4 linked regions of the Saccharomyces cerevisiae S288C genome follow. Changing the gene in region 1 together with any one later gene gives a genetic interaction. Each region holds a gene or a part of one and is shown in the gene's direction. Other genes may lie near its edges.

The links.
Region 2: mutations in SNF4 (region 1) and CQD1 together harm fitness more than expected from each alone (negative genetic interaction), as found in Saccharomyces cerevisiae (2 studies listed by BioGRID).
Region 3: mutations in SNF4 (region 1) and YDR124W together harm fitness more than expected from each alone (negative genetic interaction), as found in Saccharomyces cerevisiae (2 studies listed by BioGRID).
Region 4: mutations in SNF4 (region 1) and SEI1 together harm fitness more than expected from each alone (negative genetic interaction), as found in Saccharomyces cerevisiae (3 studies listed by BioGRID).

What each region holds. Positions count from the first base shown.
Region 1 is NC_001139.9:290,306-298,146, forward strand, and holds SNF4 (AMP-activated serine/threonine-protein kinase regulatory subunit SNF4), read left to right. Parts: upstream 1-1,727; coding exon 1,728-2,696; downstream 2,697-7,841. Other genes in the region: ubiquitin-protein transferase activating protein CDC20, read left to right, coding at 1-1,336; YGL114W (uncharacterized protein), read left to right, coding at 3,155-5,332; SLD3 (Sld3p), read left to right, coding at 5,627-7,633. UniProt on the Saccharomyces cerevisiae protein: Adenine nucleotides-binding subunit gamma of AMP-activated protein kinase (AMPK), an energy sensor protein kinase that plays a key role in regulating cellular energy metabolism.
Region 2 is NC_001148.4:340,746-349,627, reverse strand, and holds CQD1 (Cqd1p), read left to right. Parts: upstream 1-2,238; coding exon 2,239-4,031; intron 4,032-4,183; coding exon 4,184-4,364; downstream 4,365-8,882. Other genes in the region: DPC25 (Dpc25p), read right to left, coding at 1-509; YPL108W (uncharacterized protein), read right to left, coding at 676-1,182; GDE1 (glycerophosphocholine phosphodiesterase), read left to right, coding at 4,889-8,560; CAR1 (arginase), read right to left, coding at 8,683-8,882.
Region 3 is NC_001136.10:696,590-704,315, forward strand, and holds YDR124W (uncharacterized protein), read left to right. Parts: upstream 1-3,725; coding exon 3,726-4,700; downstream 4,701-7,726. Other genes in the region: serine/threonine protein kinase KIN1, read left to right, coding at 1-1,305; INO2 (Ino2p), read right to left, coding at 1,965-2,879; ECM18 (alpha/beta hydrolase family protein), read right to left, coding at 4,808-6,169; palmitoyltransferase SWF1, read left to right, coding at 6,645-7,655.
Region 4 is NC_001144.5:924,073-931,881, forward strand, and holds SEI1 (seipin), read left to right. Parts: upstream 1-4,670; coding exon 4,671-5,528; downstream 5,529-7,809. Other genes in the region: tRNA dihydrouridine synthase DUS3, read right to left, coding at 1-376; zinc-coordinating transcription factor SFP1, read left to right, coding at 1,496-3,547; DUS4 (tRNA dihydrouridine synthase), read left to right, coding at 5,717-6,820; 60S ribosomal protein eL31 RPL31B, read right to left, coding at 6,993-7,277, 7,627-7,683. UniProt on the Saccharomyces cerevisiae protein: Involved in lipid metabolism and lipid droplet (LD) morphology, number, and size. Facilitates initiation of LD formation, and ensures that vectorial budding of LDs from the ER is directed towards the cytoplasm.

The sequences.
Region 1 (7,841 bases):
ATTACCTCCGCCAAACGCGTCGCCAATTTCACACTTAAGGGCCCAGACTAAGATTGTCTTCAAACAAAATGTAGCTGAAGCGTGTGGGTTAGATATGAATAAAAGAATACTACAATACATGCCGGAACCACCAAAATGCTCTTCCTTGAGACAAAAAAGCTATATCATGAAGAAAAGAACACATTATAGTTATCAGCAGGAACAAAAAATTCCTGATTTAATTAAATTAAGGAAAATCAATACCAATCCGGAAAGAATTCTTGATGCACCTGGTTTCCAAGACGACTTTTATTTAAACTTGTTAAGTTGGTCCAAAAAAAATGTCTTAGCTATAGCACTAGACACTGCATTATATCTGTGGAATGCCACCACTGGGGATGTTTCCCTGTTAACGGATTTCGAAAACACCACAATATGCAGCGTTACGTGGTCTGATGATGATTGTCATATCTCTATCGGTAAAGAGGATGGGAACACCGAAATTTGGGACGTTGAGACCATGTCATTAATTAGAACTATGAGATCAGGCTTAGGTGTCCGTATCGGTTCATTGTCTTGGTTAGATACTTTGATAGCTACAGGCAGTCGTAGTGGAGAAATTCAAATCAATGATGTCAGGATCAAACAGCATATTGTATCTACATGGGCAGAGCACACAGGCGAAGTCTGCGGTTTGAGCTATAAAAGTGACGGATTGCAACTTGCATCTGGTGGTAATGATAACACTGTAATGATTTGGGATACCAGAACGTCCTTGCCTCAATTTTCCAAGAAGACGCATACTGCTGCTGTAAAAGCACTAAGCTGGTGTCCATATTCGCCAAATATTCTAGCCTCTGGAGGCGGACAAACAGATAAACACATCCATTTTTGGAACAGTATCACAGGTGCACGAGTTGGCTCAATCAATACCGGATCCCAGGTGAGCTCTTTACATTGGGGCCAAAGTCATACGTCAACCAATGGTGGTATGATGAATAAAGAGATTGTTGCCACAGGAGGTAATCCAGAGAATGCAATCTCTGTTTATAATTATGAAACAAAATTCAAAGTTGCAGAAGTAGTTCATGCTCATGAAGCAAGAATATGCTGTTCTCAATTGTCCCCTGACGGAACCACATTGGCCACAGTGGGAGGAGATGAAAACTTAAAATTTTATAAGATATTTGATCCAAGATGTACAGGAAGATCGAGAGAAGACGGATTGATGGATGGTATGCTAGGACTTATTGGCAAGGAAGGTTGTCGAACAAATGATAAGGAGAATCGTTCCAAAAATTCGAGTGAGATTCATACAAGGAGGCCCTCTAGTACCAGCCAATATTTGATCAGGTGATAAAATAAAAAAAATAAAAGTTCATGTCAAGGCATATAATGAAATTTCCATACACGCATACATAATGTATAAACATAAATGTATTCAAGAAGCTTAAGAAATAAAAGTAATGAACCTTGAGAATACATCAAGATATAACTCATCACATGTTAAAGAACCCACACACCACACGCGCGAGAACTGGGAGGGAGAGAAATTTAGCAAATAACAAAATTTAGGCCTTGGAAGAAACCATAGCAATGCAATAATCGTTATTAACATAATATCTACATTGAGAACTTCTTGGGCTAGTGGTTTTGCTGCAAACTGGAAAATTGTATCAATCTTTTAACGTTAGCTAAACATCTTCTGCTGTGTTAGCATTAGGAGGAAGCGAAAAGGAAAATACATAATGAAACCGACACAGGATTCACAAGAAAAGGTTTCTATTGAACAGCAGTTAGCTGTAGAATCGATAAGGAAGTTTTTGAACTCGAAAACATCTTATGACGTGTTGCCTGTTTCTTACCGTTTAATTGTCTTGGACACCTCGTTGTTAGTGAAGAAATCACTGAATGTTCTTTTGCAAAATAGCATTGTCTCTGCGCCATTATGGGACTCCAAGACTTCCAGGTTCGCTGGACTTCTAACTACTACAGATTTTATTAATGTCATCCAGTATTACTTCTCCAATCCAGATAAGTTCGAATTAGTAGACAAATTACAGTTAGATGGATTAAAAGATATAGAGCGTGCTCTCGGTGTTGATCAACTAGATACAGCTTCAATTCATCCTTCTAGACCCTTATTTGAGGCGTGTCTTAAGATGTTAGAATCAAGAAGTGGTAGAATACCACTGATCGATCAAGATGAAGAGACACATAGAGAAATTGTCGTTAGTGTTCTTACGCAATATAGAATTCTGAAGTTCGTTGCTTTAAATTGCAGGGAAACACATTTTCTAAAGATTCCAATTGGGGACTTGAACATTATTACGCAAGATAACATGAAAAGCTGTCAAATGACCACTCCGGTCATAGACGTCATTCAGATGCTTACCCAAGGTCGGGTTTCTTCCGTCCCTATTATTGACGAAAACGGCTACTTAATCAACGTATATGAAGCATACGATGTCCTAGGCTTGATAAAAGGAGGCATCTACAACGACCTGTCATTGAGCGTCGGAGAAGCCCTTATGAGGAGAAGTGATGATTTTGAGGGTGTTTATACATGCACTAAGAATGATAAATTATCTACTATTATGGATAACATCAGAAAAGCAAGGGTGCATAGATTCTTTGTAGTTGATGACGTCGGACGGTTGGTTGGTGTCTTGACGTTAAGCGATATTCTCAAATATATCCTTCTAGGTAGCAACTGAAACGAGCCGATGAGATTTTTGTGTACATACTATAAATAAATGCAACTAATAAAGTCATGATTAATCAGTCATGCATACTTCATCTGACCAATATATTTTCATCTTGCTTATTTTGGGTATAATTCGGCGGAAATTCGGTTATAAAGCGAAGTGAAAAATCGATTAGTAATGATACTGATGCGATCTCTGGGAGGGGGGAATGCTGCATATAAGGGTGAAGGAAGATAATGCAAAGCCTTTTGTAGTATTGTCTGTTGATACCAAAATAAATTAGTTCATCAAAAAGGTACAGGCAGCTAAAGAAAAGCTGTAAATTTAACGCCGTAGAAGGTATTTTTCGTGAGATCTATCTCAAGGCATCATTTTTTTTATTTTCGCACCAAGATAGGAAGAAAAAGAGTCACAGTATAGAGGACTAACCGTTAAAGATTCTAAATCGGTACTGTAAATACTTTGAAATGCCTCAATCTACTCCAAGTCAAGAAGTACAGCGTGTACCATGGGATAATAAACCTGCTTTGAAGCAGATAACACTCCGAGCAACCATAGCAGGTATCGCTATAGGGTCTCTGGTGCTAACATCAAATTTTCAATTTGGCCTGCAAACCGGTTGGGTTTCCATGATGTCCCTGCCATCGGCATTGTTAGCTTGTGCTTTCTTTAAAAATATCTGGCCATTAATATTTCCGAACGACAGGCCTTTCAGTGACGTTGAAAATGTATACGTACAAAGTATGGCAGTAGCTGTCGGAACAGGCCCATTAGCCTTTGGGTTTGTCGGCGTCATACCTGCCATCGAGAAGTTCCTTACTAACGACGAAAGTGGTGGATTAAGGGAACAAGGACAGTCCTTCACTTTTAGAGAATTGTTAATATGGTCCACAGCCCTAGCATTCTTCGGTATTTTTTTTGCAGTTCCTCTAAGAAAGCAAGTAATTGTTAGAGAGAAACTTCCCTTCCCCAGTGGTAGCGCCACGGCCACTTTAATTTCAGTGCTAAATGGAACTGAGATTTTACAAGAGGTTTCTAAGTCAGAGTTATTGGAAATGAGGCAGAGGAGATTGAATGAATGCCCTGAAGTGCTACAACCCAACAGAGATCCAGAGGAGGCGGATTATTTAATGAACTCTTCTCATAGCGAACTTGGTGATTATACGGCAACTAGCCAAGATGGAAGTTCTATCCTTTCTACTGGCTCTGAGAACTACAGAGCGAATATTATTATTTTATTGAAAACTTTTGTTGTTTCTTCGCTTTACACCATGGTGTCATATTTTGTACCGGTAATACGGTCTATTCCAGTCTTCGGAAAATACCTCTCGAACAATTATCTCTGGAATTTTCAGCCGTCGCCTGCGTATATAGGCCAAGGGATAATAATGGGTCTTCCAACAGTATCGTATATGCTTATCGGGTGCTTCTTAGGCTGGGGTGTGTTAGCACCATTGGCGAGATACAAAAGATGGGTACCACCAGATGCTGATGTCCACGACTGGGAGGAGGGAGTGCAAGGATGGATTCTTTGGTCGTCGCTTTCAATAATGGTTGCTGACAGTGTAGTCGCTTTTATTGTTGTGACAGTGAAGTCCATTGTGAAATTTATTCTTATAGATGACAAAGCTGCTTTACTGAACAACATAATCGATGATACATTTCAATCTATGTTACTGGAGGAGGAACGCGCCATTAATAGCAGCAGAAGAAATACATATGTTGATGGAAGGCAGGACACCGTAAGATTAGTGAGTAGAGATAACGAAATAGAAGTAGATTCGAAGCATTTGGTTCGCTATACCACCGTTATCAGTGGATGTCTAGTCTCCTCGATAATATGCATTGTTTCCATAATATATTTGTTTGGGATACAAGTAATTCCCCTATATGCTATTATCACTGCTTTGATACTTGCGTTGTTTCTATCTATTCTCGGTATTCGAGCACTTGGAGAGACCGATCTGAATCCTGTGAGCGGCATTGGTAAGATCTCTCAATTGATTTTTGCCTTTATCATACCAAGGGATAGACCTGGATCAGTGTTAATGAACGTGGTATCGGGAGGTATTGCAGAAGCCTCTGCCCAACAGGCGGGCGATTTAATGCAGGATTTGAAAACGGGGCACCTCCTCGGCGCCTCCCCAAGAGCTCAGTTCTGTGCCCAATTGATAGGGGCCTGTTGGTCAATTATTTTGTCTAGCTTCATGTATTTGTGCTACAATAAAGTTTATTCAATTCCGAGTGAGCAATTCAGGATACCGACAGCAGTAGTGTGGATAGATTGTGCAAGACTAGTAACTGGTAAAGGGCTCCCTGATAAGGCCTTGGAGTGCTCCATGATTCTCGGAGTCATATTTGCCGTTTTATCATTAATCAGAAACACTTATAGAGATTACGGATACGGGTGGATATTATATATTCCGTCTGGTGTAGCAGTCGGTGTTGGTATATTTAATTCTCCCAGTTTTACAATTGCAAGATTCATCGGCGGGTGGGCTTCGCATTTTTGGTTGAAGAATCATAGGGGTGACTTAAATGCGAAAACAAAAATGATTGTATTCAGTTCGGGGTTGGTCTTAGGTGAAGGTATCTTTAGCGTAATAAACATGCTCTTCATCTGCTTAAATGTCCCTCACTATTAGGTATATAATATTTTACTAATAAAGAATTTACAAAGTTTACAAATTTTAAATTATTTACTCATCACATAATTCGATGTCTTAGATTTCCCTGTATATATATTTCTAGGTGACAAAAATCCTAGGCAAAATGTTATATTATACGCGACCTTGAAATATCGGCTATCTTGGTGTACAACATGGTCCATTTAAGAAAAATAAAAAAAAGTGATGGGCACTGTTAAAACAGGCAGAAGCCTCATTCATAACTGCTGAAGGGTTAAGATCGTATAGGTAGGAACGATCTGACCTCTCATAATGGAAACATGGGAAGTCATAGCATCGGTAAAAGAAGCAACAAAAGGCCTTGACTTGAGCTTAGATCATCCACTTATTATTAAATCCGAGGACGTGCCCAGTAACATTCTCCAATTACTGCAACAGAAGAATCGACGTCAATTGAAACACATCTGCATGAAATCAAGAAAAGAGTATTTTCTACTAGAGGAATATGGGCCAGGATTTTGGGTTAAGTGGCCGTACAATTATTTCAATGGTTACAGCTTACCAGAAAGGCGTACGGAAGTTGTAACGACAGTTGAAAGAGAAAGAGCTAAGCGTGAAACGTTAAAAACATGGGACGAATTGAAATTTAAAGAGCTTCTTCATTTATGGTCAGAAGAACCCAAGGGCTCGTGTAAGCTTGAGAAGGACAAAGACCTTAAACTGGATATGAATCCCCCAGATATGAAAGGCGAATCAAAAATTAATGACTACTATTCAGACCCTAAAGAGTACATAGAAAGTAAGTATTATGATGCTCTTTTTTCCATACATACGCCTCTCGCATATTTCGTCAAGTCAAATTTAGTAAGGCTCAAAAATACCTGCCGAACCAAGTACGGAAGTGACAGTTACAAAATAGCCTATCAAGCCATGCTGCAAAAATTTCTTCTCTCAATTGTACAATTCAAAGATAGACATGATAACAGGCTTTTATTAGAGCCCTTTTCTAGTCCCATAGCAGATGAAAAAAGGAAGAACTGTCTCACAAAATTTGTTATCCAAGATGAAAACAAAAACAGCTCAACCATTGCTGATTTATGTGTTGTATTAAAATCCCGCGAAATAAAGCTACAAATATTATTGCTATTAGAGATAATAGGATTGAACGATTTAGATTGGAATTTTAGAGATTTTGAGAAAAAGTATAAATTAAAATTGAAGAAAAGATCACTTAATTTGACAAAAAAGGGATTAGTTCGTCGAAGATCGAAGAAAAAAACCAGCGAAAAAGACAAAGGAATCGAGAGAATAACAACATCTTTGGATTATTGTGAACAGTTAGACTTGTACTTAGATAGAGCATGCATCTTGGACATTCTACTATCAAGTGAAACGCCCAACCCAGATGCCATAGAAGCATCAAATGGAACAATACAAGAGCATAAAAAAAATATCCTAGACAAAAGCAAAGAAGCCTCATTGGTTGGGTTCATAAATTATGTTCTTATTCCATATTTCAACAAAAAGGTACCACACGCCGTTGAATTTATAATTCAAAAGCTCAAGGGACCAAGCATGAGACCAAAGAGAGCCCTGAAAAAGGTCAACGATAGCACAAATGTATCGTCACCTAATACTGTAGAAACGTATAACAGGTTATCCACGAGTCAACGTGCCTCTCGCTCTTCAATCATTAATTCCGTCCCATCTTCACCCGCATTGAGAAGGGTGGACGCTAATTTGTTCAGCAGAAAATCTATAGCTTCGCCCACCCCTGAACTTTTGAATTCTAGAACGAACTCTAACTTGAATGAATTTCTCGAAAGTGAAACTAGAAGCTTAAAGCGCCCTTCACAATTGGGAAGGACGAAGTCTGATCTAACGATGAATCATTTACAAAAACGGCAGTTTTCTGTCTCTGACTTAAGCACAACAAGAGTACCGAATTCATCAACTATCACACTCAAAACGCCTTTCTCGCACTCAACTATTAATGCATACAAAACTATGAATAACTCTTTTCGCAGAGTTGGGAAACGTAAAGATATCAATGAAACGATACGCCTACATGAACGTGTAGACTCTGAGGAAAACGTACAAGTTCAAGCCACTCCTGCTGTGAAAAAAAGAACTGTGACACCTAATAAAAAGGCGCAACTTCAAAGCATCATTGAATCGCCGCTAAATTTCAAGGATGATGATACGCATGAAGGCAGAAAAAATACCTCCAATATTACCTCTACTCCCACTAATAAGCCCCCGGAAAATAGCTCAAAAAGGAGAGTAAGAAGACGTTTATTTGCTCCAGAATCCACATAGAATAAGAAACTGCGAGACCACCTTCGCTGGCAAGTAGTTGACCCAACTCCATCTTTGTAGCTTTTCTTGGACGAAAAGGGAATAAAATAAAACTAAGCTACAACAATTTCGCACTTCGGGGGCCTTTGAGTATACAATTAAATAACTCATCATGCATATATATATATATACATACAATGGCGTATGTAAAAACTGTTATATAACATTA
Region 2 (8,882 bases), on another chromosome or scaffold:
GGGAACAAACTTCTGATAGCAGATAAATCATGAGGTTGTTCTGCTTTTTTGCTATCGGTTTCCAGCTTCTTTTCACGTAACTCAACAGGGACATTTTCCATATGTAACAATCCCAAAGGTGGATTCCAGTCTTTAGGCCACTTCTCCTTAGTTCCTGCGATCTTTTCCGCAGCCTCTTTCCTTCTATGTTTCCAGTCTCTTAAATCCTCGCTATATATCTCCCAGACACAGTTAACGCAACCTGACATGCAACAGTTATCGGGTTCTTGTGGTTTTGCAGGCACTTGGACACCTGCTATTTTCTTCGTTCCGCCGCTAAGCACTCTACTTGTGGATCTTGGTGGTTCACCCTTTAAGCGTCCTCCAAAAACAGTGGTCATTCTTTCTTCGACAGAAGTAGAGATATCTTGAGTGTTTCCTTCAAAAGTCATATCTACTCTGGAGTATCTTGTGAACCTCCGCACCGGATAAATTCTGTAAAGTAATGACCATCCCTGATTTCTTATCATTTTCTACTTTTGATCACGTCTCTATCTAATGACGGTTTCATGCACCCTCTGACTGTTGTAATTTACGTATTATTATTCTGTTTAATTTATGCTATTTATGTAAATGAGTTCGGCCATGTCGGAGGAGAAAGATATCTTTTTTCAAATTTGAGTATCTGATTCGGGCTTATAATACATGCCCACGACATCGCTCGATCATATATTCCAACTCTTCAAGCTCCCTCTTCATTTTATTCTTCACGTTGAACGGTTCAAAGAGCCCCAGAAAATAGGTGCTGAGATCCAGACACTCCTTGTACTTACATTGGTAAAATAAACGATGGCAGAAACCACTAAGCACCTGTCGCTGATGCTTATTGGAGATATCGTACTTGCCTTCCCGGATCTCAACCAAGGGATCTACCTCATCCATCCATCCTACCTTTGTCCGCACAGGGCCTTGTTCTACTTCGAAGTAGTGCTGCAATTGCTGTGTATACTCTTCTTCCGTTTGACCTTTACGTATTTTAGTTTTCCCGGTGGATTTTCTAACAATTACTTCACCTGTTCTACCATCTAACGAGATTGGCTTAGTCACTGATTGATCCTTCTCTCCGTGGGCTTTCCTAAAACCTGTACTATAGTTTTTTTCCACCATTTTTGGTGCTTCTTCTCTATCAGATGCTTCTTTCATAAAAATTATTATCTTTCTTAGCTGTTATTCATCTTACATTTTTTTTTCAATTACGGCGAGGCGATGACTTCAATCGTTGCTGTCAAGATTGAATTGACAATTACAGTCGATGTTGAATATTAACTTATATATGACAGATCATTACAGCTAGTCTAGTTCGACAAGATTAGTAAGATTAGGAGTTATTTTTAACTGCTTATTATGCAAGTTGTGTAGGCCACAGGCGCAACTGAAAAACATAATTTCAGATTAGGCAGTTACTGGAAAGATCGCGTTCTTGTATTGTCTAAATAGAAGCAGTTGTTTTAATAATGCTTACAATTGAACTATGAACCAAAGCAATAATTTATGAGAAACTAAAATGGGATGCATCAGATCTTTGCACTCAATTGAGTTTAAAACTGTACAGGTACTAATATTATATTAACGCTGCTTCTATAACACTTGTTTTGACATGACGATAAGTGTAGTGTATTCAAATGCCGTATGTCACTTGAACACACAGGGAACTGCACTCTGCACTTCGGAACAAGATTGAAAGTTACTGTGTTATTAACCTTTGCCAACAAGCGAAAACAACCAGGTGTTTCTGCGGTTTACAAAATCTTTAAGGGATTGAGGTTAGTTGGCTCAAAGAGAAGAAGTTCCCAGTCGATGTATCAAGCAGAGCTAAGAGAAAAAGTGCCGCGAAAGGGTTTGATTGGTCAAGTTGGCTTGTTCATCAGGAACTAAATTAATCAAGGTGTGATTCTATCTGTCAACCCCCCCCCTTGATACTTCCTGTACTTAGAATCAATTTATTAAATACAAATTTAGAATCTGTGATTCGTAAATCTTAAGTGTTTAAATACTAAGTGTGTATTAAAGGCTTTACTTCAAGCAACGAAAAATAAATAACCCCGAATATATGAGGGGCAATAATACCTTTTCACTCATTTGATGAAAAAGAAAAGATGTTTGATGTTATAGAAAATACCTTATACCATATCTTCTACCTACTCATCAATATCAAACCCTCACAGAATAGAGATAAAGAACATCAGAACCATCTGGGCAATGTCATTTTTAAAGTTCGCTTATAGAAACTCTTGGCGATACTATAGCAAGTCCACACGGCATTTTCATAAAATACCTATAAGACAGTTCATAATACCTACGTCAATTGCTTTTTATTTGACACAAAATTCGTTTCCAAAACAAAATTGTTTGATATACAATGATTCTCTAAAACCGGATCCCAAAGGTGATACTTTTGAAATGGGCCTCTACGTTTCCTCAGAAAACGAATTGCAGGAAAAGCTTAAATCTTTCAGGTCTGCTAAGATCACTGAATCACGAAATAAATTAATAAGATATCTAAGAATCTTTTGGTTCGGTTTTAATGATAATATTGTTGAGCCTGTATGCACGATTTTAAGGTTTTTAGAAATTTCAGCTATTTTTTTACCTCTTCTCCTATTATACCCCATATCATGGTTTGGTCATAAACTCAAAATTACGGACACCAATATAACTGAAACTCGAGGTTCATTGATTTGGTGTCAACTACTGCGTAAAGCATTGGAATTGGCTGGCCCGAGTTTCATTAAACTCGGACAATGGGCAGGATCGAGAACCGATATATTCTCTCACGCACTGTGTCATGAGTTGGGTAAATTGCATAGTAACGTTACAGCTCACTCTCTAAGCTTTACTCTGGAAAAACTTTCTCAAGCATTAAAGGTTGACAAGATCGAAGATGCTTTTGATGAATTTAATCGAACACCAATTGGAGTTGGGTCCATCGCACAAGTTTACGTGGGTGAACTATCCCAAAAGTACATCGATAAATATGACAATATACAAATTGGTAAGGATGGAAATCGTTGGTGTGCCATCAAGATCTTGCATCCAAATGTAAGATCTCAGATCCGGAGAGATTTGAAAATAATGAAATTCTGTGCTGACGCAATAAATTGGATTCCGACTATGGAATGGCTGTCTTTACCCAGCGAAGTCGATCAGTTTTCCATATTAATGAATATTCAGTTGGATCTAAGAATTGAGGCGTTAAACCTGGAAAGATTCAATGAGAACTTTAAAAATTCTATTCAGGTGAAATTTCCTAAACCATTTCTCCCCTTGTCAAATAGGGATGTTATGTTCGAAGAGCATGTATATGGTCTTTCCATGGAAAAGTTTTTATCTACGAAGAAGCAAATTAACGACGTTGAACTTTGTAAAAAAGTCAGTGATCCCTTCGTTGACGCGTTTCTACAAATGCTAATTCTTGATGATTTTGTTCATGCTGATTTGCATCCAGGCAATGTTATAATCAGATTTGTGAAGACGAACAAATACGGCACAAACATTATATCCTCCGAACTTGAATCGTACAGAATAACGCACGACCTGAGGAAGAAGATAGAGGAGGACCAAGATCAGGACTTTGTTGGAAAACTGAAGTCTGTATTAACTAATTACACTCCCCAAATTTGTTTTATCGATACAGGAATAATTACAGAATTGAATGAAAAAAACAGAATTAATTTCATAGCTCTATTCAACGCATTGGCCCGATTTGATGGTTATAGAGCTGGTGAGTTGATGATTGAGAGATCAAGAACTCCAGAAACAGCTATTGATAAGGAAGTATTTGCGTTTAAGGTAGAAAAGCTAGTGGATAAAGTTAAACAAAGAACATTTACATTGGGAACCGTCTCAATTGGCGATTTACTCGATCAAATGCTTAGTATGGTAAGGTCGCACCATGTTAGAATGGAGTCCGACTTTGTTTCCGTGGTGGTCGCTATTTTACTTCTAGAGGGTATTGGACGCCAGTTAGATCCAAACTTGGACTTATTTGAAAGGTTCGTATTTTACGCATGGATTAACGGTTTTAAAGAATAACATCAATTTTTTAAAACCCTTTTCTATTGCTTTTTTTTGCTTTTTATTGCTACTAAAGAAATTCTTTTACTAACAAAAATACCCACATCTTGTAACTTCTCTTCGTAAACAGTTCGCTGCCTATATTACGTGAATTCGGGTTTAAGCGGGAAGCCAAAAGTCTCTTGAAAGATGCAAGCACATTATCAATGCTCAAGATATGGGTTGGTTTAGAAGTGCGTCAATTAATGCATCTCTCGATGAAGCAAATATACGATCTTGTCAGGACTGATCAATTGTGTCCTAATTATTAATATTCTTTCTTTTTATGCATCTTTTATAATTGCGACTTCCACGTGTTCGCAGGTGGAGCAATGTTACACACGCTGTCCCAACATATTAGCTCTCCAAAAAAACGACCAAGTTTATTTAAGTGACAAATAATAATTTGCTGTTGCTCTAGCTGAAATTTAGACCAGTGCTGTCATTATCGACTCGTAGTGTTCTTTTAATAGTAAATTTCGTCAAAACGTTTCTAATTCACTTAATAGCGCCAACTGAATAAGAGAATTATTTTTAGAACGTGCACATTATATTAAAAAGAGAGCGTTGGCTGACAGAAGTAAAAAATAAATTATTGTCTTACAAAGTGAGACTATTAAAGAGTTTAAGTTTTGCAATTAGTGCTTCATTGAACAATAAGGCAACGGTAGCAAAAAATTTAAACCCAACTAAGAAGGGAACCCTCATCAAATTACACAAAAATAGCCACTATCTCCAACTAAGGTGACAAACTACTGAAACTGTAAGGTCTTTATATAATCAAACAATATAATCAATGAAGTTCGGAAAAACCTTTGCCAATCATCGCATTCCAGAGTGGTCAAGTCAATATGTTGGCTACAAGTCGTTGAAGAAAATGATTAAAGAAATTACAAGACTTCAAGAAGACATATATAGGGCACATAACAAGAATAGCTATGATGAAGGCAGGCCACCAACAAAAATGAGAGATTCATCTAATAGTGCTCAAAATTATTTGGACTCTCCAAAAATCCAAAAGTTATTGGCGTCGTTTTTCTTTGCAGTTGACAGGGATATTGAGAAGGTTGATACATTTTACAATTCCCAGTATGCGGAATATAAGAAAAGATTTGAGAGATTGCTTTCTTCTAATCAATTCAATGAGATAAAATCAACATTAGTGGTCGATGCCAACAAAGAAGATGCAGTAGCGCAAACCTTACTCACAAAGGATACGAGAGAGATGAATATGCTTTTAAAGGGAACAAGTCAAGCCAGCCGTCTATCTTACCATAAAGATGACTTAATTGAAATTCAGTCTATCTTAGCTGAGTTAAGAAAACAATTTAGAAACTTAAAGTGGTACGCTGAACTAAATAAGAGAGCTTTTGGTAAGATTTTAAAGAAACTGGATAAAAAAGTCGGCACAAATCAGCAAATGTCAACTATGAAAACTAGAATCTTGCCGTTACAATTTGCTAATGATTCTCTTATTACCAAAGATTTGAGTTTGCTAAAAACTATCTGGGAACAAGTGACGTTCAGGATAAATTCTTACGAGAGAGTAATGAGGAGTACCTCGCCGAACGCAAATGCTAATGATAATACAGAATTCTTTAAGATTATTTGCGTTTTTATAGAAGAAGATGATAGCAAAGGATTGATTAGAGAGCTAACAAACCTATATTCGGAATTGTCTTTGATTCCAACAAGAATTATGATAAGTGTTTTAAACAAGGCAGCACTGTCTAAATCACTGGCATGTATTGATGCTATCTTAAAGGTTATTCCGTCTCTAAATGACTCGGAAGATATTAACAGAAGAAATTTTTTCCATCATCACATAATTGCAATCGGGAAGTTAATCAGAAAACAGGAAATTTTAAGTAGGAAAAAGAAGTCACAACCCTCAAAATATACTAATAGTGAGGGAGAAATTGTAACAGATTTAAGAACCCTGCATACGACCCTATCTGCCCCGGCAGAATCAGATAGCATTACAGAGGAGGAAAAAAGTTCGGCCTGTACACTCTCTTATATTTTAGAGGAGTTACCAATTCATTTAAGACCATGCCTTTTTCAGCATGATAATTACAAGAGAACGCCCTTGCATTATTCTTGCCAGTATGGCTTATCTGAAGTTACGAAGTTGATTATCAAGTTAATGAAAGAATGGAATATCTGGAATGAAATCCCTATTGATGACGTTTCCGCGTTCGGAGATGCCGAATCATTGACACCTTTACATTTATGTGTGTTGGGTGCTCATCCCAAAACAACAGAAGTCTTATTGCAATCTTTGGATCCGAACGTGAAATTAAAAAGTTCAAGTTTGTTACATTTGGCCACTGAGTGGAATAACTATCCCCTTTTACATGTTCTCCTATCATCAAAAAGGTTTGATATTAATTATCAAGACAACGAATTACATGAAACACCGCTATATCTTGCTTGTAGATTAAATTTTTTCGAAGCTGCTGTGTGTTTGTTGTACAATGGAGCCGACCTTGAAATAAGAGAAAAACTTTTTGGCTGGACAGCTATCTTCGTTGCAGCAGCAGAAGGGTTTACGGACATTGTAAAGCTCTTGATAGCCAACAACGCGAACTTTGATATTGAAGATGAAGGTGGGTGGACGCCGATGGAGCACGCGGTATTGCGCGGTCATTTGCACATTGCTGATATGGTTCAAATCAGAGACGAACTGGTCACGCATCCCCATTCACAGTTGAACAGTGGTAGCGAAGAGAAAGAACCACTAAACGAAATTAGTGCCGGAGAATTAAATGAGAGAAATGAAAATGGAAACGGAGGTAATAAAGGGTCCTTGGGAAAACTGGCCGGACCAATAAAGTCATATGGACACAGATTCCTGGATAATAATGAATCACTTATACTAATAACATTGGGAAGTAATGACACAAGAAACAAAAGCCCTTCAATTTCATTAAGCTCGGAAGCACTAGCAAAAGTTATTGGGTTGGAAACAGATTGTGCATTATCGTTAGTAATTTCATGCAATGATTCAATTGATAAATCTTCTGTAATCTTAGATTTACCATTAGATGATAATGTGGACGCAGTAGACTTCAAAGTGCCTTTCAAAGTTGATTATTCTCATACATTATATTTTGATATTGTGCCAACATATGGAACACGCTCGTTGGAGACCCATAATAGAATAGATTGTCAAAAAAATAACAATAATTACGTAATGGCAAGGGGTGTTTCCATGTTGAATAAGTCGTACAGCTCAGTGGGAGTTAATAGAAGTATATTAAATGGTAGCGTGACGGTCCCCATCATCGCTAATCATACACTGGAGATACTTGGGACGCTGAAATTTGAATATATTATTATCACACCATTTGAACATCCACAACTGCCCTTAGAAAGAACAGAAACGTACTGGAAATCCTTAGTGTCCACTCGTGTTATAGGACATAGAGGCCTGGGTAAAAATAATCCTAATAAATCATTACAAATTGGAGAGAACACAGTCGAGTCTTTCATCATGGCAGCCTCATTGGGAGCATCGTATGTAGAGTTTGATGTTCAGTTGACGAAGGATAACGTACCAGTGGTATATCACGATTTTCTCGTAGCTGAAACAGGTGTCGATATCCCCATGCATGAATTGACGCTGGAACAGTTTTTAGATTTGAACAATGCCGATAAAGAGCACATTCAACGTGGAGCAGGTCACTCACCTCATCATGTAAATGGAGCAGATACAGCACTACAAAAATATAGAGGGCGTTCGGTAGATGATTCAGACGTTAGTACATTGAGGAGAGCTTGGGATTTACACGACAACGACCCGAATGGGAAGTCCAACAATGCTCATTGGTCTGACAATCGAATGAGGCTAACCAAAACATTTAAAAAGAACAATTTTAAGGGAAACGCTAGAGGACATTCAATAGCTTCATCATTTGTTACCTTGAAAGAACTATTCAAGAAAATCCCTGCCAACGTTGGGTTTAACATAGAATGTAAGTTTCCCATGCTTGATGAGGCAGAAGAGGAAGAGTTAGGGCAAATAATGATGGAAATGAACCATTGGGTTGACACCGTGTTAAAAGTAGTTTTTGACAATGCGAATGGTAGGGACATCATTTTTTCGTCATTTCATCCGGATATTTGCATCATGCTTTCGTTAAAGCAACCGGTTATTCCGATCTTGTTCCTGACGGAAGGTGGAAGTGAACAGATGGCCGATTTGAGAGCCTCATCGTTACAAAACGGTATAAGATTTGCTAAGAAGTGGAATTTATTGGGGATTGTATCTGCTGCAGCACCCATTTTAAAGGCCCCACGGTTGGTGCAAGTGGTTAAGTCTAATGGGCTGGTATGTGTCACTTACGGTGTGGACAACAATGATCCCGAAAATGCCAGTATACAAATTGAAGCAGGTGTAGATGCCGTGATCGTCGATAGTGTATTGGCAATTAGACGTGGGTTAACCAAAAAGAATGAAAAGTAACGAAGATACACTACTTTTATTTTTAATTTATTTTCTTTTTTTGTTCGTAAATTTATGTATGCATGTGCTTAACTAAAATAAAAAGAGAATGCTTATTTTGATAAAAGGGATGATGATATAAACTACAATAAGGTTTCACCCAATGCACACCTTGCAATGGCGCAACCTGCAGAGATGGTGTTTGAAACATGGATATCATGAATAGCCAGATCAGGGTTACATTCAACAACGTCTAGCGCAATTAAATTACCGGATTCGGCCAATCTTTCCACCAAGAAAAGACCTTCTCTCAAGGTCAACCCACCTCTCACTGGAGTACCTG
Region 3 (7,726 bases), on another chromosome or scaffold:
GATCCCTCAGAAAAGGCGAAGTTTGGGAATATATTTAGAAAATTATCACAGCGCCGTAAAAAGACCATTGAACAGACATCTGTTAATAGTAATAATAGTATCAATAAACCTGTGCAAAAGACGCATTCTCGCGCTGTTTCAGACTTTGTCCCTGGTTTTGCTAAACCGAGTTATGATTCAAATTATACCATGAATGAGCCTGTCAAGACAAACGATAGCAGAGGTGGCAATAAAGGTGACTTTCCAGCATTGCCTGCGGATGCAGAAAATATGGTAGAGAAGCAAAGGGAGAAGCAAATTGAAGAAGATATAATGAAATTGCATGATATTAATAAACAGAATAATGAAGTTGCAAAAGGAAGCGGGCGGGAAGCTTACGCTGCACAGAAGTTTGAAGGAAGCGACGACGACGAGAATCATCCCTTACCACCTCTCAATGTTGCAAAAGGTCGAAAACTACATCCAAGCGCAAGAGCTAAATCAGTTGGTCATGCTCGTCGTGAATCACTCAAATATATGAGACCCCCAATGCCTTCATCTGCCTATCCTCAGCAAGAGCTTATAGATACTGGGTTCTTAGAATCAAGTGACGATAACAAATCCGATAGTTTGGGAAATGTTACTTCACAGACGAATGATAGCGTCAGCGTGCATTCTGTGAACGCACACATAAACTCGCCATCTGTGGAGAAGGAATTAACAGATGAAGAGATATTGCAGGAAGCTTCTAGAGCTCCAGCCGGTTCTATGCCATCCATCGATTTCCCCCGTTCTTTATTTTTGAAGGGTTTCTTTTCTGTTCAGACAACTTCATCGAAGCCTTTGCCAATTGTTAGATACAAGATTATGTTTGTTCTGAGGAAAATGAATATAGAGTTCAAGGAGGTTAAGGGTGGTTTTGTTTGTATGCAAAGGTTCTCTTCCAATAATGTGGCAGCGAAGAGAGAAGGGACTCCAAGATCGATCATGCCACTTTCGCACCACGAATCCATTAGACGTCAAGGCTCTAATAAATACTCACCTTCTTCTCCTTTGACAACTAATTCCATTCACCAGAGAAAAACATCTATTACCGAAACCTATGGAGATGATAAGCATTCGGGAACATCTTTGGAGAACATCCACCAACAAGGTGACGGTAGCGAAGGCATGACTACAACAGAAAAAGAGCCCATCAAATTCGAAATTCATATCGTCAAGGTTCGTATTGTTGGTTTAGCCGGTGTGCATTTTAAGAAAATTTCTGGGAACACTTGGTTGTATAAAGAGCTGGCTTCTAGTATATTAAAAGAACTAAAGTTGTAAGTAACACGTTCCCTGAGAAACCACAGCTTACATTTTTGATATTCGAAAACAAGAATATCCGTTCGATAGAAATTTATATATATATATAGATTCTTTTTATTCTCTTTTGGAAAGAAGAAATAGAATGGACCTAAGCAGACACTCAGCAGTTAATATTTTCGTCCCTTAATTGGTATTATTTATAAATAAATGGCACGTACTTTATGTGTAAAGCAGTTCATCATCGATTGATGGAGAGAATTTGTATACGTAGAGCGATCATTGCACCGTTTACCAGGACAGGATTCATATGGATGTAATAGGACTATTACTTCACTGAATCAATACAACTCGTAACGGTCATATAACTGCGAGTTTGTACGCAGTTATTCTGTTTGTGAAGACAGATTATACTTCGCCGTTGAAAGATTTCTTTACTTCACCATCATTGCCTCCGGATTCTCTTAACTTCTAAATAAAATGAAGATACTGGTAATTCTTGTCCGCAAAAATCTACGCTACACTCTGGAAAGAAACGAGATTTTCTACCGTCTGGTTTATAATGAATATATTTACATGACCAGCTTTGCAATCATATGATATTTTCGCCCATGTATACGAAATTAACTAAAAATACATCCAACGGGAGGCCATTTTCATCACTAATAGCTTGTATGAGCTCAGGAATCATCCAGTATGTGCTGTAGTGCTTCATTTGCGCTTCTAATGGACTTGATATCGTTCATTACACAAGTTAAAAGAATATGCTTGGGAATTCTTTTCCCGTTTTCCTTCGGTGGGGTCCTTACTGATTTAATGAGCCTTTCAAAGGCTTCTTTGGTGTTTATTCTTCGTATCTTCTCCATTTGAACGTGTTTCCATTTCCGTACCTTCACAGGGTCGTCCTCGATATTGGCTGGAATATCAGAGTCTGGGATTCGTATCTCAGGTACTGAAAACGGTGGCGGGTTGTAGTGGTCATTGCCGATAGGCTGATGAGGTCCTTCCCTCGTGGTGAACTCAGTTGGCACATCTGCTGTGTTTGTGGGTAACTCCCCTGTGTTACTGTGTGGATGTGTTTCAGGATATCTTTGATTTAATTCGGTATACCTATGCTGCTTTTTTGGTGATCTTATATGTAGATGTGATTCGGAGTTCATGGAAGCGTTGGAAGACATCATATCCTGTGATATTAGATTGTCTAAAAACTGTTCAATGGCATTCGATTCATTCGTGCTCAACAACCCCGAACTGGAAGGAGACAACTTGAGACCAAGCGCTTGATCAAAACCCATGCTTGGTTGATGAGGGTTGTGATTTAGATAGTGTGCATGAGTATGCAAAGGAGCATGATGAGTTTGGTTATCGGCAGGTATAGTTTCTACGTGAGAGGGTTGCACGGTTGCTACGTTAGGAATTATGCCGAGCTCGTGTGTTAACAGAGGAGGGGAAGTTGCACTAAACGTGTTTTCATGTATGTGCGCAGACATTTGGTCGTCGAAGTTACTGCTGAGCATTTGGTAAGCAGTTTCAAAGTCTATATCGTTATCCAGATCTAGGATACCCAGTAATTCGTTCCCAGTTGCTTGTTGCATTTTCTCCTTTGCTGTTCCATGTATTTATTTATTGCACGTCAACGAGATGGAACCGAACCAATTTCGAATTGCTTATGACGCCAAATACTGATTACAATAAGATATGATGAGATGAGCCTTTAATCACTGAAAAAAATTCACATGTGTGTTGTACTTGGACAGGTGTCAACGCCCTGCCGATGACGGAGGGAGATAGAAAACCGGCGAATTTTTTACCTCCTGCTGAAAAAAGGTTAGGTTGGTTCCATCTGCCGCACTATGGAGGGTGATTCAACGGAAAAGGCGCAGGAAGTGCAGTAGTGACCGGCAAGCAGCATGTTGAAAGACATTGTTGGGAAATCCTGTTTGAGTCCTGGTGTGTCTTCATTCTCCTACCATTTGTAGCTGGCGTAGATTTGGTTTGAGTGTGGTTGGTTAATTCATATTAAGCGTTGAGATTATAATAATAGAAATAATGGAAGAGGCACTCGATCCATATTATCAAGGATTCAAAGTAACTCAGATCTGCAGTAAAGGAGAGATGCGACTGAGAACAAATTCCTTTGCAATGGCATCGGCAATGGCACAATATGGAACTTTTTCTTGTACTGTTGAAAAACAGCACGCTGCAGTTGCATCAGGGTTGTTTTAAGTTGTTGTAGTAATCTCGCGACCTGAGACATCCTTGAAGCGGTGCCTGCGAAGTCTTAGTGAAGAGTTTAAGATTAGAAGTATATAGCATCGAAGGGATGGCCCAACTGAAGCAGGTTCCTCTGCTTGTTTCTCAGCTTATATAAAGGATGGATTGCGTATGTATACATGTGCATTTGTGCGTACGTCATTTTTCGATAGAGTCAGCTTAAGTACATGCGTATAGGTATGGAAGAGCTTAGAAGGGCGCTGGCGCTGCTAAATGGTCAAGGATATGAGTTTATGGTGTTCATAAAGGAAAAAGACCATTTAATAAGTGAGTCAATTCCAAAAAACTTGTTCTCAGAGAGTTTTATATCATCTTCAATTGAAAAAAACCCTCCACTCACGTTCGATCCATTGGTAAATAGGAAAAGAATAACTGTTTATGAAGAAAATATCCAACCAGCGATCATGCTACCCTTAGATCAACCCCTACTAATACAGAATTATCTGTATACGGCTTTTAAATTATTAAGACAGGTCCCATGCAAGGCGATTGCTAAGTTGTGGATAAAAATTATTGAGCCAAGGAAGAAAACCAGGTTTCCATACATTAAAGGCAATGCTGGAAGGCCGGAATGGTGGCCAAAAGATGTAGAACATAAAGAGCCGGACCACCTCCAGAAAGCGGATCGACTGAAATTGATGTGCACGATAATTATGAATGTTCTACCGCAATCTCCCTTCAGCCTTGAGATTTTGGACGAGCTTACAGGAGTGACCGCCGCAATGACCATTTTTAAGAAAGAAACTGTGAAGAAAGTAATCATGAAAAATGTTTTCGAAATTGCGAAATGCTTGTGCAACAAAGATTTCAAGCAGAAGACCATATCACTTGATGATTTAAATGACCTAGCCCAAAAACAGAAAAAATCATACCATAGTCGTCGATTTGATGTAAATAAAATGGTTAAGGTAGAAAAAGATTTGTTACAACAGTCAAGTGGAAGCGATTCTTCACCCTCGATGATCCTTCCTTCAAAAGAAAGTGACACAGAGTATTTCCCCAGGGAATATCCGAAAGACCCTGTATCGGAGGATTATTCGAATAGCATATCTCGATTAGAAAATTTAGTGGAATTTGATCCGTTATTCCTCACTAAATTGGATGAATTAACTAGTAGCGATGATTGTAAAGATTTTATTTGAGAAAAATTTCAAAGCAAAGAAAAGAGGTGTGAGGAGCGCAAAAGCAAAAAGGGGGATAGCATACATTAACACATTTTTTGGCTCTTTGCTACTTGATTTGGTTGCTATCAAGGCGATTTAGTTTCGTCTGATAAGAAGGACACTATAGATTGGTTGAATGATTCTGGGTTATCTAAAAAAAGATTGTGACCGGAAGAAGGTATTTCTAAATAACTTGCTCCTTCTAGACAGTTCTTTAAATTGTTCAACTCTTTGACCATGAACATACCGGCTTTTTTATTCATCCAATCATATTGCCCATATACTATCAATAATTTCTTAACATTTAAATATTGCAGAGAATCCATCAAGGGGTCCTTTGCTAGGATACATCTTGAAAATAACGCTTTGAAAATATCTGTCGTAACCTCCGGTATACCTCCCTTACCGTAAAACAGTTCAAATATGTACTCTTTGTATGCCAACGATGGGACTCGGCTATATGCCGCCATTATGTAATTCCAACATAACTTAGCTCCTAATGGTCCCATCATTCTCAAAATGTGAAATTGTTGTTCAAATAAGTATTTTGGAATCATATTTCTTTTGGAGTAAAACTTGGAATTTGGATTTTTAAAATCGATAGTATAAAGAGTGTTGGAGTGGAAATTATTATTTACAGACCAGATATTCCTTTCCACTCCTAGTGGGGATACCAAGCAAAGTTTGTTTACCGAGTTTGGATATTTAACAGCATATTTAAAAGATAAATATCCGCCAAAAGAATGCCCCACAACATTCATTTTGCCCAATTTGTTATCAATGCGCCATTGCTCGATTCTGTCGAGATAGAAATCTTCGTACATTTGAATCACAAATTTATTGTGATTTGCATTTATTGTATATGGAACCTTAAATTTATTTTCTCCAATAAATTTGATATCTAACGGCAGAGGTGTTGTTGTATTGATCTCTAAAGACGGTACTGAAGACAATCCGCTCGCTGGCATGTCAATTGAGTATAAATTTCGGATGTGCTTGGACAGACCTGGATAATTTCTGAAAAAAGACATTGAAGATGCGGCATAGCCATGTATCAGCAATGTTGGTGTTCGAACAGTACTTGTGTTTTCATTTTGGAAATGCCATTGATTTATTTCGTTGAATAACTTATCATTCTTTTTAATACCTTCAACGTGTACCTCTTCCATAATACGTCTCTGTAATTCCTCCAGCCGCATATAAGTTTTGTGTGGGTTATTCAAATGGCTTGACCATAGCTTGAATCCAGATTTTTTGACAGCATTTTCCTCCTTGGGTCTAAGAATCCTTTCCAAAATTTTTCTCTGGAGACTCTTTTCACGACGTTTAACTTCCAGTAGGCTTCTATTACTGTGGAACGCTCTCTTCCACATGTAACATTTATATACATTCATTATCTGCCTCCTTAAACTTTCAGGGTCCATCAAGTACCTCTTTATTAAAAGCATTTTTCATTCGCTCATCCTTAAACTGGAAAGGCATAAGGAAACTGTCAGAATATATAAATAGAGGTGTAAAACATGTGAAGCTCTGTGGAGTTCTAAGCTGGAATCGAAACAGTTGTCTCAATTTTAGTAATGTCCAAGGGCTTTCCAGGAGGTCAGTATATTCAAAGCCAAAATAATTAATGTTTTGGTCTGAATTTTTATTTTTCAAAAATGAGGTGAAAACCTCCAACGAAACTTTTTAATTAAAACCATCCGATACAGAATTTTAAATCATCTAAAGCATTTATTCGGCATTTTATCCTTGAATAACGTACTATGCAACTCATATAAATACTACAATATACTTTCTCTTTAGGAAATTCGTAGCTATCAACAAAGGTAGTGTCATTGTATATATACTTCCGCCTTCCTAAAAAAAACTTCATTATGCCTCCAAAGAAGATATCTTTGTCTCCTAACATGAAAAGAACAAACAATGTCATGGAATCTACTATTTGTGCTGCTAATAGGATTCGTAGTTTTGATATTACTTTCGCCCGTCTTCAAGTCAACATGGCCATTTTCGACTTTCTATCGTAATGTGTTTCAGCCCTTCCTAGTGGATGACCAAAAATATCGTTGGAAGTTGCATTTAGTACCTCTTTTCTACACCTCTATTTACCTGTACCTAGTATATACATACCACATGAGAGTGGAGTCTACGATTAAGAATGAGCTATTCCTTTTAGAACGAATACTGATCGTGCCTATAATTATACTACCGCCGGTAGCATTAGGAATTCTAGCCATGGTAAGCAGAGCTGAGGATTCAAAGGATCATAAATCAGGCTCGACAGAGGAATATCCATATGATTACCTATTGTATTATCCTGCCATAAAGTGTTCGACATGCCGGATCGTCAAGCCTGCTAGATCCAAACATTGTAGCATTTGCAACCGATGCGTTCTCGTCGCCGACCATCATTGCATCTGGATAAATAACTGCATCGGAAAGGGAAACTACCTTCAATTCTACCTTTTCCTAATTTCCAACATATTCTCGATGTGCTACGCCTTTCTAAGGCTGTGGTACATTTCTTTAAATAGCACAAGTACGCTCCCTAGAGCTGTTCTGACTCTTACCATATTATGTGGATGCTTCACTATCATCTGCGCTATTTTCACGTATCTTCAATTGGCCATTGTAAAGGAGGGAATGACTACAAATGAGCAAGATAAATGGTATACCATTCAAGAGTATATGAGAGAAGGAAAACTGGTGAGATCATTGGATGATGATTGCCCATCTTGGTTTTTCAAATGCACAGAACAAAAAGATGACGCTGCTGAACCACTCCAAGATCAACATGTTACGTTTTATAGCACGAATGCCTACGACCATAAGCACTACAACCTTACACACTACATCACGATTAAAGACGCGTCCGAAATTCCCAATATATATGACAAAGGTACCTTCCTGGCCAATCTCACAGATTTAATATAGTAAATTGTCATGCATATGACTCATCCCGAACATGAAATTTTTTTTCACTCGGTTTTTTCTCACCGCCATAG
Region 4 (7,809 bases), on another chromosome or scaffold:
AAAGGTACAGATTGATATCGTGAACAAACCTACAGTTATCACCAAAGGAGCATTTAGATATATCGCCATGGATCAAGCGTGGGCACAAGACATTCTGTTCCTTGACCTGCCTGTTATCTCTATTCTTGTTTTGCCCACGCTTCTTACCTCTTCCGTTCTTATTTTTCTTATTAGTCCCACCTGCAAACTCGTTTGTCATTCTGTCGGAAGACATCTCTTCATCATAGATGGCGACCTTCTGGTTTTCATTCTGCTTCAATGGTACAATATATTCTGGTTTGATATGTGCAATACCTTTGGACGGGGAAGTGTCTTGTCTCTTCACGGTTGAGTTGTCGTCGCCAACAATAGAGCGTTTTTCAGCGTTTTGCTCCATCAATAATGTTTAGAAGTTGCCTTTTTTTCCTATTCTGAGTTCATTAATGTTTCATTACTGCTCATCTCATCACTACACATTCGAACTAAATTCTTCATAACTTTAACTAGATCTTATGAAACTTTTCAAAAATGGTGCACGGGCTTTCTGTATATTGAACTTTCCGTCGCTTTTCGGAGCTACAATTCCCCTACCCGGCTTGTCGGCATTAAGTCTCTTCATCCCGTGTACTATTACCCGACAGGTTTCTGCGGCATGTTCTGTGGAACGACGGTACGGGCGGTGACTGGGTGCCAAACAGTGCGGCGTTCCCGTGCGCAAGGTGGTCTGCGGTAGGAAAAAGAAACAAAACGCGCCTACGTCGTGCAAGGGGACAGGATTTTGTCAGTTACATAATAAGGAGCAATTTCGAATCAATTGAAATTTGGAACAAATGGGCGATGCATTCGTTAAAAGGCGATTTTGTATCAAATAACGTCACTATCAGCCATTGTCACTTGCCACTGTCGCCTGCCACCGCTATTGCCATTATCATTTGCTTTCGCATCGTCACCGATTTAAAGCTCTCTAGGCTAACGTACGCATTTTACCTCCCAGGCCCTATCTCTTTTCTACCTGTCATCCCTATATAACGTCTTGTACATTCTAGTGGCTCCGTTAACAAGGTTTGACAAATATTACAATCAAAGAAGGATAGCGCTAGTCAATCTAATCATTAAGTTCGCTTATAAAGAGAAGGAAAGCTAGATTTTTTTTCTACTTCAATTACATATCGGTGCTTCTCTCTGGTGGTTTTCTGTTTTTCTAATATTGATCGATTTTACGGTGAGTTAAACTACTTCCTTTTATCGCAATATCATATTTAGAGCGAGAAAGCAAGAAGAATAAAGCTAGGAGAAAAAAGCGCCACGATACATTCATACTAAGTTTATAATATACCGGTCGTCTTTTGGCTTTCTGATACCATATTATATCCTCGAAACACTTTCTCTGGATTCACCTACTATTAATCACCTCAAGATTTCACTTGTAAGGCGTTTTCAAATTTATTGTTATTAAAAGACATATTCATATTCAGTATTTTTATTTTTCTTCGAAACAGGAAAAGCTTATCTGAGTATGGATTTTACAACAATGACTATGGCAAGCAATATGGCTACTAGTACTACTACGACGGCTACATCGGCACATGCATCTATAAATTCGTCATCAAACTTTAATATTGATATTGATTCGAACCAGAATACTCCTTCCATTTTGATAAATAACAATTCGGATTCTTCTAATGGAAAAAACACAGATTTTAACGGCGTCAATAATATTCACCAAAAAAATATCATGAATAATACAAATAATGTTCATTTGTACTCTCCAAATATAATGGACCAAACGCTACTAACTCCACAGGACATTGCCAAGTTACGGAGAGAATCAATAGCCCATTCTCAAGGGATGGGTGGTGTTTCATGGGGATCCATTAGTGTTGGTTCTTGGTTAAGAGATGAAATTATTAGCCGTAGAAATAGTATTGTACCTGCATCAGCAAACGGTGCTGCCTCCGCTGCCGCTTCTGCAACCACTACTGCCACTAATACTTTGCAGATTCAACAACCAACTAAGAGACCCTCTGTTAGTAATCCGCCTTACCATAGAGGGTATTCTATTTCTCCTCAGATAGCCTACACTGCTTATCTGCCAAATCTAGAAAAGCAATATTGTAAAGATTATTCATGCTGTGGTCTTTCCTTACCAGGTTTGCATGATTTGCTGAGACATTACGAAGAAGCTCATATATCCACGTCTCCTAACACTACCAATATGTCACAAATACCGATGAACTCTGCTGGTAACACTAGTTCATCAGTTCGTATGACAAATAATACCTCTTCTGCCAACTATAACCTGCAGAATAACATGGCCGCTAATACAAAAAATGCAGGTCATAAGACTAATACTATGCAGGCTCATAGCAGCAATGCAACTAATAACACCTCCATTAATAATATGCATGCCAATCTTCAGAGCAACATGGATTCCAACTCCACAATACGACAATCTCAGCATCCTCACCATCAGCAGAATATAATACAACAACAGTTGCAATCGAATTCTGTAAATCATACATCAGGGGCTGTACCCACACCGAGTGTAATGGGTTCAGCAACTGCGTCGTCCACAACTGCAAATCCAAATGTGATATCTATAACGGGTGCCCCCAACTCGGGCTTATCTATGGCTAATCACTCTCAACAACTACATCTGAATGGTAATCTAGTCGATGCCGTTTCAACGAATGATGTGTTTTTAAGAACGAGCAATTCTCCATCAAGACACGTTCCGCACAATAAACAAATTAACAGTAACAATAATAGTGGTATCAATATCAATAATAATACCTCACACAATTCTAATATTAACATGGGTAGTAAAAACGCCATGGTGAATCGTCCACATACTTTTAATAACTATTCCTTGAACAAAACGTCCAGGAATCCTATTCAACATCAATCAAGAAAAATTGATCCTCATCAAACCGATTTATCACCTCTGGTACTTGTCCAAGATATAGATTTAAGTTTTATGGATGATGATATTTTGGGCCCTAGTAACCACAATTCCATGAACTCTGTCGTAAATCCAACTACAGGTTCTCACAACTACAATACTTTTCATTCTTCCGTACACGCAAAATCTTCTCAAAACATGGTCGAGGATCAAGACATTGATGACATTGATGATGACGATGATGTTGATGATGACGATGACGATGACGATGACGATGACACAGAAAATGGCTCCAGTTCCAATGGAAAATCAGTTCATAACAACAATTACAAGATGCCTCAGCAAGCTTATATAGACGATCCTGCGAGAAGGCTCTATGTAATGGATCATGAGGAACAAAAACCCTTTAAGTGTCCAGTTATTGGTTGTGAAAAGACTTATAAAAACCAAAACGGTTTGAAGTACCATAGGTTGCACGGACATCAGAATCAAAAATTACATGAAAACCCTGACGGTACATTTAGCGTAATAGATCCAGATTCGACAGATTCTTTTGGTGATGGAATGGGCTCTGCAAAGGATAAACCATACCGTTGTGAAGTTTGTGGTAAGAGATATAAGAACTTGAACGGTTTAAAATATCACAGGGGCCACTCCACTCACTAAGATATAATTGTTTCTTTACTGAATTGATTTAGTATGCTATTTAGATACTAATTCTACCGTTACCGACTCATGCATCGAGCGGCCGCTCTTTCTCTTGTTGTTGGGCGCAATTTATGTGATCATCTTTGAACGAAAATGCATGATAAAGCTGTGCTCTTCGACTGTTACCATTAATTTCAAAAAATAAAAAGCATATCTATTATTGAAAAATGAACTTATAATAGAATAACATTTTCTTGTTTTGTCATCATTTCCTCTAAATACTCCGTCATGAAAACGATTTGCGCTCTGTCTGGTCTCTCCTTTTAGTATTATTGTTGTGTGTTTTTTACTATTCATTTTTTACTACTGTGTTTTTACTATATATATTTTGGCTTTACTTACTTCCTTCTGTTCTGATGTATTAAAAACTATTTTTATTCTAAGAAAAGAAACTTTAATTCTTCTTATTCATGCTCTAAATCTTAAATAAAAGGTTCCGTTTTTTATCTGCAATTCTGTGTATTTGTAAGTGAATTACCATGCACGTTGTCGGATCGTTTTTCTAGGCAGAAACTATCTTATTGAACCATTAAAAGATTACTTAAATATTACAATTAATCTTACGAAGCATATTAATTAGACTGGAATTACAGCGCAACTATCACAGGTTAATAATTGGTTGAGAAAATATTATAGTTTTGTTAGTAATGTTGAACTTTTATTTTATACACTTATGAAAGTAAATTAATTCAATATCAATAATAATATACTATAAGTAACTTAAAAAGCAACCTTCCTCCCAAACCTACAATCCAATCACGCTGATAAGTATTATCTAGAAAGTTGACAACACCAAGCCATATGGTCAAGAAACATTTATTGAGAGTTATTTTGTAAATAAGACTTTTCGTCATCCATATAAAGCAACCTAATTGTTCATCTAATACTAGAGTCGCTCTTTTGAAAGTTAAGTATAACTACCTCATCATTAGTTGCTACTATGTGTATAATTTGAAAATCTCAACGTAAGGTTATTAAAAATATAAATGCGCGTAAGACAGAAAAATAGAGACAGCTTACGGCAAATTATCAAAATGTGAATCCAAGGTTTCAAGAAAATAAGATAAAGTGAATAGGAAGGATGAAAATCAATGTATCCCGTCCATTACAGTTTTTACAATGGAGTTCATATATTGTTGTTGCATTTCTGATACAATTGCTAATCATTCTTCCTTTATCGATCTTAATATATCACGATTTTTACCTAAGACTATTACCTGCCGATTCCTCTAACGTAGTCCCCCTTAATACGTTCAACATTTTAAATGGCGTACAATTTGGTACAAAATTCTTCCAATCTATTAAAAGCATTCCGGTAGGTACAGATCTGCCGCAAACAATAGACAATGGCTTATCACAGTTAATCCCCATGCGTGACAACATGGAATACAAGCTCGATCTAAACCTACAGCTTTATTGCCAGAGCAAAACTGACCATTTAAATTTAGACAATTTGTTAATTGATGTTTACAGAGGTCCAGGCCCGCTATTGGGTGCTCCTGGAGGAAGTAACAGCAAAGATGAAAAAATCTTTCACACTTCTAGACCTATTGTCTGCCTCGCACTGACGGATTCCATGTCGCCTCAGGAGATCGAACAACTAGGCCCATCACGTCTAGACGTTTACGATGAAGAATGGCTAAATACAATAAGAATAGAGGACAAAATATCGTTAGAGTCTTCATATGAAACAATCTCGGTGTTCTTGAAAACGGAGATTGCCCAAAGAAATCTAATAATACATCCAGAAAGTGGGATTAAGTTTAGGATGAATTTTGAGCAGGGATTAAGAAACTTGATGCTTCGAAAAAGATTTTTATCTTATATTATTGGCATTTCAATTTTCCATTGCATAATATGTGTACTTTTTTTTATCACAGGTTGCACTGCATTCATTTTTGTTAGAAAGGGTCAGGAAAAATCCAAGAAACATAGCTGATAGAATTGTACTTCTCGCTATATAATTTTAAAACCTAGCTGTTATTTTCTAAGTAAGTAGGCTCTTCCAGCATTCTGCTTCTTCGCCCTGAATAAAAAAAAGATGATCAGCGAAAAAACTCAAAATGAAAATAAGAGATGGATTCTTCAAAGTTATAATTCATATGCAGAATAAAGATTCTAAAGAAAATGCACACAATGCATATTCCATCCGGTGATGTTCTGATACCGAAGCCGAAGCTTATTACTGAAGAAACAGATCCACTGCATATAATAAAGACGAGGCAAAAGACACATGGTCGGCCCGTGACCATTGCAGGCCCAATGGTTCGGTATTCCAAGTTACCATTCCGTCAGTTGTGCCGAGAATATAACGTTGATATAGTTTACTCCCCCATGATTTTGGCAAGAGAATATGTCCGTAATGAGCATGCAAGAATCTCAGACCTTTCTACAAATAATGAGGACACCCCGCTAATCGTCCAAGTAGGTGTAAATAACGTGGCTGATTTACTAAAATTTGTGGAAATGGTTGCCCCATACTGTGATGGTATTGGTATTAACTGTGGTTGTCCTATAAAGGAACAAATCCGAGAGGGCATAGGTTGCGCTCTGATATACAATTCAGATTTGTTATGCAGTATGGTCCATGCTGTGAAAGATAAGTATGGCGACAAACTAAGAATTGAAACGAAAATAAGAATACATGAGGCATTGGACGAGACGGTGGAGTTATGTAGAAAGCTATGTGATGCTGGGGTAGATTGGATTACGATTCATGGCCGAACACGTAGAACTAGGTCATCGCAGCCGGCTAACCTGGATGCGATAAAATATATCATCGAGAACATCAGCGACAAAAATGTGCCTGTAATAGCGAATGGGGATTGTTTTAAGTTATCCGATTTGGAAAGAATCACCAAATACACTGGTGCACATGGTGTCATGGCTGTGCGTGGGTTGTTAAGCAATCCAGCGTTATTTGCTGGATATACTACCTGCCCTTGGGGCTGCATTGAGAAGTTTTGTTATTGGGCTCTAGAGTTTGGTGGCTTGCCTTTTCAATTGGCTCAGCACCATCTGTACTGTATGCTTGAAAATATGGAGTTGAAGAAATCTCTGTTAAAGAAAATGATGAATCTTAAAAATTACATTAGTCTGATCGACTGGTTTAATAAAACCTTTGAGTTCAAGCGTTACGGCGAGGATGGATTTGGCATGGGCGTTGAAATTCCTTATAAAGCTAATAGCTGTGTGCAGAGGAGCGCCTCAGTGGTTGAGAGACAAGAATGAATAAATTTTGAATTACAAAAATCTAATAAACTGTGGTACTGAAATTGTATATATTTTCCTATCATTCAAGAGCGTATACTCGTACCCCGAAAGCAGCTCTGTTTGTGTAATAATATAACCTAAAAGAAATAAAATGCTTATAAGATGGACATTATTTTTTTTTTTTTACAATTTAAGCATCTTCTTCAACGACAACGGTTTGTAGACCCTTAGCAGAGGCAACCAAAACTGGTTCGACGTAGGAAAACAATGGGTTCTTGGCATCTTCTTCTTCGTTTCTCTTTCTGGAGATTCTCAATCTCAATCTGTATTCAACACCCTTAACACCTCTTTTCCAGATAGCTTGGTTCAATTCTGGGGCTAGACGGACATCTTCAGTACCCATGTGTAATTTGGCGAATTTCTTGATTTCCTTCACAGCTCTTGGAGCTCTCTTTTTGAAACTGACACCATGTAGCTATATTAATATCAATTCAAGATTGGTCTGTTAGTAAAAAAAAAGTTGTTATAAGAAGGTGGAACTAAAGCATCACGCCAAAAACATCGGCCCAAGCGCCATTATAGTGTAAACGTGAGGTACGGATATCGATCGCAGAACACAGAGAAATGCAGTACCGAAGAAGAACCTTCCAGTCCTTGCATCACGCATTCCATATAATAACCTCTAATATTCCGAATTAAAACCTGGGGTCAATCATTGGAAAATGAAATTTCACCCGTATAGATTTCGCTTGGTATTTCACCACAATATCGCTTGTTGGCTTTCAATAATTTCCCACGTAAAGACAACGCTAATTTCGACATACTCTTTTGTGCAAGTTGATGGTGTATTCACGAGTGACAACGTCTTTTAAACCGGCCATTTTCAAGTACTTTGGATTATCTGCTCGTGCAATTGAAATATACTAAGACCCAAGACTATGTAAAACTAAGGAACCTATCAACAATGAGACTGGTCAAATAATAGAGTAAACATGTACATGAAGCAC